Canis lupus familiaris: one gene and its partner. The protein of the gene in region 2 binds, or shares a complex with, the protein of the main gene of each other region. Links are inferred from orthologs where the notes say so. Each region holds a gene or a part of one and is shown on either strand. Other genes may lie near its edges. The genes, in order: NIFK and MKI67.

Region 1 (4,501 bases), on a different chromosome or scaffold from region 2:
GCGATAACAAATGTACTCGAATTATGCAAACACAGTCCAGAATATTGTTAATGAAAAAATCGAGGGATCCCTGGGTGGCGCAGTGGTTTGGCGCCTGCCTTTGGCCCAGGGCGCGATCCTGGACACCCGGGATCGAATCCCACGTCGGGCTCCCGGTGCATGGAGCCTGCTTCTCCCTCTGCCTGTGTCTCTGCCTCTCTCTCTCTCTGTGTGACTATCATAAATTAAAAAAAAAAAAAAAAAAAAAAAAAATCGAGTTAAAGAATGATAAAATATAGACTTAAATATACAATATATATTCTTTCATGAATGTGAAGTAAGAAAAAAAACAGTAACAAAAATCACTGGATTCATGAATTCTCTGGACATGGGGAAAAAGAGGATTGGGGAAGGGTACAAAAGTGACTTCAATCCTACTTACGAAACAAGTATGAAATCAAGTTGACATTTTATAAAAATGGTGGATTACCGAATAGCCATTAAATACTCCAGCGTACTTATGTTTAAAATACCTCACCCACATGTTATGCAATCATTATAAATAGGCAAATGTAAAAACAAGGGGGAGGAACACAGACAAAATCTTATTTTGCTTAGGATAAGAGATACTAGGGCATTTTAAATTTAAGTTACTCATTATCATTATTTTTTAAGATTTTAATTATTTATTTGAGAGAGGGTGAGAGCACAAGCAGAGGGTGAGGGGGAGGGGGAGAGAGAGAGAGAGGGAGAAGCAGGCTCCCTGTTAAGCAGGGAGCCTGACTCTGGCCAATCTCAGGACTCTGGGATCATGACCCTAGCTGAAGGCAGACGCCTGACTGAGCCACCTGCCCCTTAAAATCACAACATATTATCTGTGATTTTATGACAACTAACAGATGATGGATGTGTACCCTACCCTTCAGATACCAAATCAAATACAAAATTTAACTTTGAGGGGCAGCCCCAGGGGCGCAGCGGTGTAGTGCTGCCTGCAGCCTGGGGCATGATCCTGGAGATCCCGGATCGAGTCCCTCATTGGGCTCCCTGCATGGAGCCTGCTTCTCCTTCTGCCTGTGTCTCTGCCTCTCTCTCTCTGTGTACCTCTATGAATAAATTAAAAAAGAATTAACTTTGATAAAATTTGGAAAAACAGCATAAAGAAAAAAAAGCTTCCAAGAGTGAGAGGTCTATGATTACAAAACAGGATGCGAGCAAGGAAGAGAATAAAGTGGCCACTCCTCTACTTCAGTAACAAACCTACAAGCTTTTTCTTTAGTAGGAGTTAGGTTCAGTGTAACAATAACATTTAGAAAAGGTTTACTGTTTAAGGTTTTGTTCTAAGAAATCTGCATTTGTTACCTTTGTTTATTCCTTTCACCTAGGAGGTGGATGGTATTTTATTCATATTTTACAGAATAGAAAACTGAAACATAAAAAAAAAAAAAAAAAAAAAAGAAAAGAAAACTGAAACATGGGAAAATTACATAATTTGTCCAGGACCACACAATTAGTGATCTGTACAGCCAGGGCTCAAACCTAGGTGGTCTGGCTTCGATGTCCTTATTCTTAAGAACTCACTATACTACAAGATGTTCATACCTGCCCTTCAAACTGAAGCTTGTGTGCACCCGGCTTAGTAGCCACAGAATAAGGATGATTCATTTATTAGGGTTATCAATTTAATTTGAGAATTTGGTGCAATTTTAAAAGGAAAAGAAACATTAACAGTAATATGGATTTTGCTCTTTTCATTTTCAGGTTCTAAATCTTACGTGAAAAAAAAAAATAAATCTTACGTGTCCCACTCCCCCTTTTTTTTAAAGGTTTTATTTATTCATTCATGAGAGAGAGAGAGAGAGGCAGAGACACAGGCAGAGGGAGAAGCAGGCTCCATGCACCGGGAGCCCGACGTGGGATTCGATCCCGGGTCTCCAGGATCGCGCCCCGGGCCAAAGGCAGGCGCTAAACCGCTGCGCCCCCGGGCTGCCCCCTACCTCCCTTTCTGAAATAAGCTGTGCTCAACGATGATATAGGACCACCCTCCGTAAATGGTAAACACTTACATACTCGTAAGAAATAAGACAATCTAATTCGATCTTACCCTTTTACTTCTGGACAGCCTGAATCTTGTAACAGTGCCAAACTGGGAGAAATAGGCCCGGATCTGGGTTTCATAAAGTGCTGGAGGTAAGTGGCCCACGTAGATCACGCCGGGGGTCAGTTTTTCTTTCTCCTTTTGCTGGGGACACACAGACCAGACAAACGCAACTTTTTAAAAGTCACCTTGCGACACGATGTGCAAAACCCCTACTTCTCAGTGCAAAATCCTGCCCGCACCTCCGCGTGCACAGGAGTCCGATGTCGGCGTCGGCGTGCCGCGGGCGGGCTCTGTGCGGGCCGGGCCGCCGCCCCCGCCGCCCCCCGCACCGCCCCCCGGGCCCTAGCGTCCAGGGCCGCCGCTCCGGACTTTCCTAGGCGCGTACTTTATGCTCAAGGACAAGGCAGGTGCGACTTGCCGCCACGGCCCCGTCAGTCCGGGGAACTCGGCCAACCCCGCCTCCGGAGGTCTCAACCCCGCAGCCGGGCCGGGCCGGGCCGCCTCCGCTCCGGAACCCCCCGGCCGGCGGTCGGCTCCCGGGGCACGGCGGCCTCCCAGCTCGGGGGCTGCTCACCTGGGCCGCTCGCCGGCAGGCCTGCGTCACCTCCTTCCGAAACTTGGCCTCCTCCTGCGGGTTCAGCGACAGGAACGGCTTGGCAGGGCCGGCAAGCGCCGCCATGGCGACCGGCCACCCGGCCCGAGCGCTCCACGCGGCGCCGCCGGAACCCGCCGCCCTCGGCGCCTCCGAGGCGGAAGCGGAGGCGGCGGACGTGCGCGGCAGGCGCGGGGGCGGGGCCTGGGCGGGGCGGGGCGCGGCGGGCTCGGGCGCCCCCTGCTGGCCTGGCGCCGCGTGGCGCCCCCCGCAGGCCTGCCACCTTCGGCCAGTTTCAAGGAGAGGCTCGAAAATGTATAAGCCCCAAACAACATCCGCGCCCTTGAGGTATTGCTGATCATTCTTTAATTATTTTTTATTTTCTTCCTTCCACGCAGGCACTCTTTAAAGCCCATGCTGTGTCCTCGAGGGCGTTGCTGTCGTTAGGAGGCTGAGAGACTGGGATGGAGGTGCCGGAGGCTGCTGGGGCGCCCGTGCAGGGAGACAGCCCCGTGCGGGAGAGGCACGCTGGTGACCAGCGAGGGCCTCCCGGCATGGGACGTACTGGAGTAGAGGCCTGGAGGCCGCAGGCGCCGCGTGGGAACACCCGGAAGCTCAGGGTGCAGGTAGGGGGGACCCTCGCGCAGGGTCCTCAGAGCTGCGCGGAGAGAACCAGCGGGGCGGGGGGTGGGGGGGTCCACGGCTCGTACCTGAAGGCTTAAAGCTTGGGTTTTATTGTAAACACAAGCAGACGCGACGGTTCTATTTCAAGATTTTTTTTTTTTTTTAAAGATTTTATTTATTCAGGAGAGACACAGAGAGAGAGACGCAGACACAGGCAGAGGGAGAAGCAGGCTCCATGCGGGGAGCCCGACGTGGGACTCGATCCCGGGACTCCAGGATCACGGCCTGGGCCGGAGGCAGACGCTTAACTGCTGAGCCACCCAGGGATCCCAGATGTGAGGGTTCTAAGCAAAGCCCTGGCTGTTAATGACTTTTAAATACTGTCCCTGGCCTAACCCCCTGAACTCAAGAAAACTCCTAGGAACTTCTGCCCGTCAATCTTACTTTTTGAAAATGAACTAAGGAATTGCTGTAACAGGAAAAGAAACATTTGAGGATAATGCCTGCACAGATGAATCAGAAAGTGCCTCAGCCTCACAATAATGGTAAAATCTCACCCTGAATATTCACGCCAAGGCCTAATAAAAGGGGCCTGCTTCTCCTTGTTCAGGCAATCAAGGCTTTGGAAGTCATTCCTTGCACTCTCCTTGTTTGTACAAGTAAAGTGGCCCTGGGAGGCAACCACCTCGTACAGTTTCTGTCTATGGTTCACCGAGAAGTGGCCTTGCTTTGGTTGGTAATAATAGTACTCCAGTTAGGGTGGAGGGTGAATGGCAGATGGTAGAATGAAAACTGCAGCGGCACTCGGGTGCTCGGTGGTTGAGCGTCTGCCTTTGGCTCAGGTCATGATCCTGGGGTCTTGGGATCGAGTCCCACGTCGGGCTCCCCGCAGGGAGCCTGCTTCTCCCTCTGCCTGTGTCTCTGCCTCTCTCTGTATTTCTCATAAATAAGTAAATAAAATCTTCAAAAGAGAAAGAAAACTGCAGGCCCCAAATTCAGTCACTTATGTTAAGGCCTCATGGCAGTAAACCAAGACTTAGCACTTCACCCTCCACCCCAACGTAAACTTTGACCTGCCAAACTGGAGGTATTTATGATCGATCCCTTCCATTCCCCTTAGGAAGGGTGACAGGACCTAAAACAACACATTCTTTGCTAATAATTCCCTTCCCCCTCCCTCTCTGCCTTTAAAAACCTTTCCTTTT
Region 2 (3,809 bases):
TTTGTTGTCTTCGTCACCACCTCCTGGTTCTGTGTGTGAGTGTGTGGCTCCCCGCCGCGTTCGGGTGGGCTTCCTGAGAGCTGACGGCTCTTCCTCTGGGTCTACTTTCTCGGGAGAGGTCTTGAGGCGCCTTCTCCTACCTGTTGGCTTGTTGACTGGTTCTGCTACTGGAGATTTGCAGGGTACACTGGTGGCTTTGCCATCAGCCATTGGGTCCTGGGTGTGCTCTGGGGTTTGGAAGAGCTCTCTGAGGCCAGCCAGGTCTTCTAAGGTCTGGACGTTTTTCTTGGGTGCTCTTGGTTGCCTCTTGCTTCCAGTTACATTTTCTGCAGAGTCCAGTTTCTGCTTTGGGATTGCCGTGGACAATTTGGTATCTTCATCACCACCTCCTGGTTGTGTGTGTGAGTGTGTGGCTCCCCGCCGCGTTCGGGTGGGCTTCCTGAGAGCTGATGGCTCTTCCTCTACATCTACTTTCTGGGGAAAGGTGTTGAGTTGCCTTCTTCTACCTGTTGGCTTGTTGACTGGTTCTGCTACTGGAGATTTGCAGGGTACACTGGTGGCTTTGCCATCAGCCATTGGGTCCTGGGTGTGCTCTGGGGTTTGGAGGAGCTCTCTGAGGCCAGCCAGGTCTTCTAAGGACTGGACATTTTTCTTGGGTGCTCTTGGCTGCCTCTTGCTTCCAGTTACATTTTCTGCAGAGTCCAGTTTCTGCTTTGGGATTGCCCTGGACAATTTGGTATCTTTGTCACCACATCCTGGTTGTGTGTGTGTGTGTGTGGCTCCCCGCCTCGTTCGGGTGGGCTTCCTGAGAGCTGATGGCTTTTCCTCTACATCCACTTTCTGGGGAAAGGTGTTGAGTTGCCTCCTTCTACCTGTTGGCTTGTTGACTGGTTCGGTTACTGGAGATTTGCAGGGCATTTTGGTGGTTTTGCCATCAGCCATTGGGTCCTGGGTGTGCTCTGGGGTTTGGAAGAGCTCTTTGAGACCAACCAGGTCTTCTAGAGAATGGGTCATTTTTTGGGGTGTTCCTGGCTGCTTCTTGCTTCCAGGTGCATTTTCTGCAAGGTTCAATTTTTGCTTTGGGGTTTTCTTGAACAATCTGATGTCTTTATCATCACCTCCTGGATCTTGCTCTGTGTGTGTGGCTTCCCCTGGCATTAGGATGGGCTTCCTGACAGGTGAGAGCTCTTTCTTTAAGTCCTCCTCCCCCAGAGGTATCTGGAGATATCTCTTCATGTGGGTTGGTGTGCTGCCTGTTTCTGCTGGTGGAGATTTGCAGGGCATTATTGTGGCTTTGACAATAGCTGTTGGTTCCTTGCTGAGCTCTGGAGTTTGGAAGAGCTCTTTAAAACCGACCATGTCTTCCAGGAATTGAGCCTTTCCTTCCTTGCTTCTAGTTACATTTTCTACAGGGTCTAGCTTCTTTGGAGTTTCCTTAGACAATTTAATGTCATCATCACCACCTTCTAGTTCTCTGCGTGAGTGTGTGCTTTCCCCCAGCATTTGGGTGGGCTTCCTGAGAGAAGAGGGCTTTTCCTCTAGGTCCACCTCCTGGACAGGGGTCTCGAGCTGCCTCCTTCTGATTGTTGGAGTGACTGAATCTGGTACTGGAGATCTGCAGGGTTCACGGGTGGTTTTGCCATCAGCCATTGGGTCTTGGCTGTGCTCTGGGGTTTGGAAGAGCTCTCTGAGGCCAGCCAGGTCTTCTAAGGACTGGGTGTTTTTCTTAGGTGTTCTTGACCTCTTCTTGCTTCCAGTTACATTCTCTGCAGAGTTCAGTTTCTGTTTTGGAGTTTGGTTAAATAATTCGCTGTCTTTATCATCACCTCCTGGTTTTCTGTGTGAGGGTGTACTTTCCCTTGGTGTTTGGGTGGACTTCCTGAGAGCTGAGGGCTCTTCTTCTAGGTCCAGTTCCTGGAGAGGGATCTCGAGCTGCCTCCTTCTACTTGTTGGTGTGTTGACTGGTTCTGCTAATGGAGATTTGCAGGGTACGCTGGTGGCTTTGCCATCAGTCATTGCTTTATCTGTTTGGTTTGGTGTTTGCAAGAGCTCTCCGAGGCCAGCCAGGTCTTCTAAGGACCGGATGCTTTTCTTAGGTGTTCTTGACCTCTTCTTGCTTCCAGTTACATTTTCTGCAGAGTCCAGTTTCTGCTTTGGAGTTTGGTTAAACAATTTGATGCCTTCATCATCACCTCCTGGTTCTCCGTATGAGTGTGTGCTTTCCCTCAGTGTTTGGGTGGGCTTCCTGAAAGCTGAGGGCTCTTCTTCTAGGTCCAATTTCTGGAGAGGGATCTCAAGCTGCCTCCTTCTACTTGTTGGTGTGTTGAATGGTTCAGCTAATGGAGATTTGCAGGGTATGTTGGTGGTTTTGCCATCAGTCATTGGGTCCTGGGTGTGCTCTGGGGTTTGGAAGAGCTCTCTGATGCCAGCCAGGTCTTCTAAGGACTGGATGTTTTTCTTAGGTGTTCTTGACCTCCTCTTGCTTCTAGTTACATTTTCTGCAGAGTACAGTTTCTGTTTTGGGGTATCCTTAAACCTTTTGATGAACTCATCATCACCTCCTGGTTCTTTATGTGAGTGTGTGTTTTTCCCCAGCGTTTGGGTGGGCTTCCTGAGAGCTGAGGGCTCTTCTTCTGGGTCTATTTTCTGGAGAGGGGTATTGATCTGCCTTCTTCTACTTGGTGTGTTGACTGGTTCTGCTAGTGGAGATTTGCAGGGTACGCTGGTGGCTTTGCCATCAGCCATTGCTTTATCTGTTTGGTTTGGTGTTTGCAAGAGCTCTCCGAGGCCAGCCAGGTCTTCTAAGGACCGGATGCTTTTCTTAGGTGTTCTTGACCTCTTCTTGCTTCCAGTTACATTTTCTGCAGAGTCCAGTTTCTGCTTTGGAGTTTGGTTAAACAATTTGATGCCTTCATCACCACCTCCTGGTTCTCCGTGTGAGTGTGTGCTTTCCCTCGGTGTTTGGGTGGGCTTCCTGAAAGCTGAGGGCTCTTCCTCTAGGCTTACTTTCTGGAGAGGGGTCTTGATCTGCCTCTTTCTGATTGTTGGTGTATTGACTGGATCTGCTAGTGGAGATTTGCAGGGTACTTTGGTGGTTTTGTCATCAGCCATTGGTTTATCTGTTTGGTTTGGTGTTTTAAAGAGCTCTCTGAAGCCAGCCAGGTCTTCTAAAGACTGGATGTTTTTCTTAGGTGTTCTTGACCTCCTCTTCCTCTTGCTTCCTGTTACATTTTCTGCAGAGTTCAGTTTCTGCTTTGGGGTATCCTTGAACCTTTTGATGCCTTCATCATCACCTCCTGGTTCTTTATGTGAGTGTGTGCTTTCCCCCAGCATTTGGGTGGGCTTCCTGAGAGCTGAGGGCTCTTCCTCTAAGCCTACTTTCTGGAGAGAGGTCTTGATCTGCCTCCTACTTGGTGTATTGACTGGATCTGCTAGTGGAGATCTGCAGGGAACTTTGGTGGTTTTGTCATCAGCCACTGGTTTATCTGTTTGGTTTGGTGTTTGCAAGAGCTCTCTGAGGCCAACCAGGTCTTCTAAGGACTGGGCAGTTTTCTTAGGTGTTCTTGACCTTCTCTTGCTTCCAGTTACAATTTCTGCAAAGTCCAGTTTCTGTTTTGGAGTTTGGTTAAATAATTTGATGTCTTCATCATCACCATCTCCTGGTTCTCTGTGTGAGTGTGTGCTTTCCCTCGGTGTTTGGGTGTGCTTCCTGAAAGCTGAGGGCTCTTCCTCTAGGCCTACTTTCTGGAGAGGGGTCTTGATTTGCCTCTTTCTGATTGTTGGTGTATTGACTGGATCTACTAGTGGAG

What was found.
Region 1: the proteins of MKI67 (region 2) and NIFK are in contact, whole or in part, in an NMR structure (PDB 2AFF), measured with the Homo sapiens proteins. The link is inferred for Canis lupus familiaris from reciprocal best matches to the Homo sapiens genes MKI67 and NIFK. Residues at the interface, in NP_002408.3 of Homo sapiens: Thr9, Ile10, Lys11, Arg12, Ser13, Pro18, His19, Phe20, Pro21, Ser23, Leu24, Arg31, Gly32, Ile33, Glu34, Cys35, Asp36, Ile37, Arg38, Ile39, Gln40, Leu41, Pro42, Val43, Val44, Ser45, Lys46, Thr66, Asn67, Ile91; in NP_115766.3 of Homo sapiens: Val228, Asp229, Ser230, Gln231, Gly232, Pro233, Thr234, Pro235, Val236, Cys237, Phe241, Leu242, Arg245, Gln248, Val249, Leu252, Asp256, Lys257, Asp259, Glu260, Ile261, Val262, Phe263, Lys264, Gln265, Pro266, Ile267.

The regions. Positions count from the first base shown.
Region 1 is NC_049240.1:29,898,147-29,902,647, reverse strand, and holds the start of NIFK (MKI67 FHA domain-interacting nucleolar phosphoprotein), read right to left. Parts: upstream 2,830-4,501; 5' UTR 2,760-2,829; coding exon 2,655-2,759; intron 2,222-2,654; coding exon 2,084-2,221; intron 1-2,083.
Region 2 is NC_049249.1:37,276,535-37,280,343, forward strand, and holds part of MKI67 (proliferation marker protein Ki-67), read right to left. Parts: coding exon 1-3,809. UniProt on the Homo sapiens protein: Protein that associates with the surface of mitotic chromosomes and acts both as a chromosome repellent during early mitosis and chromosome attractant during late mitosis.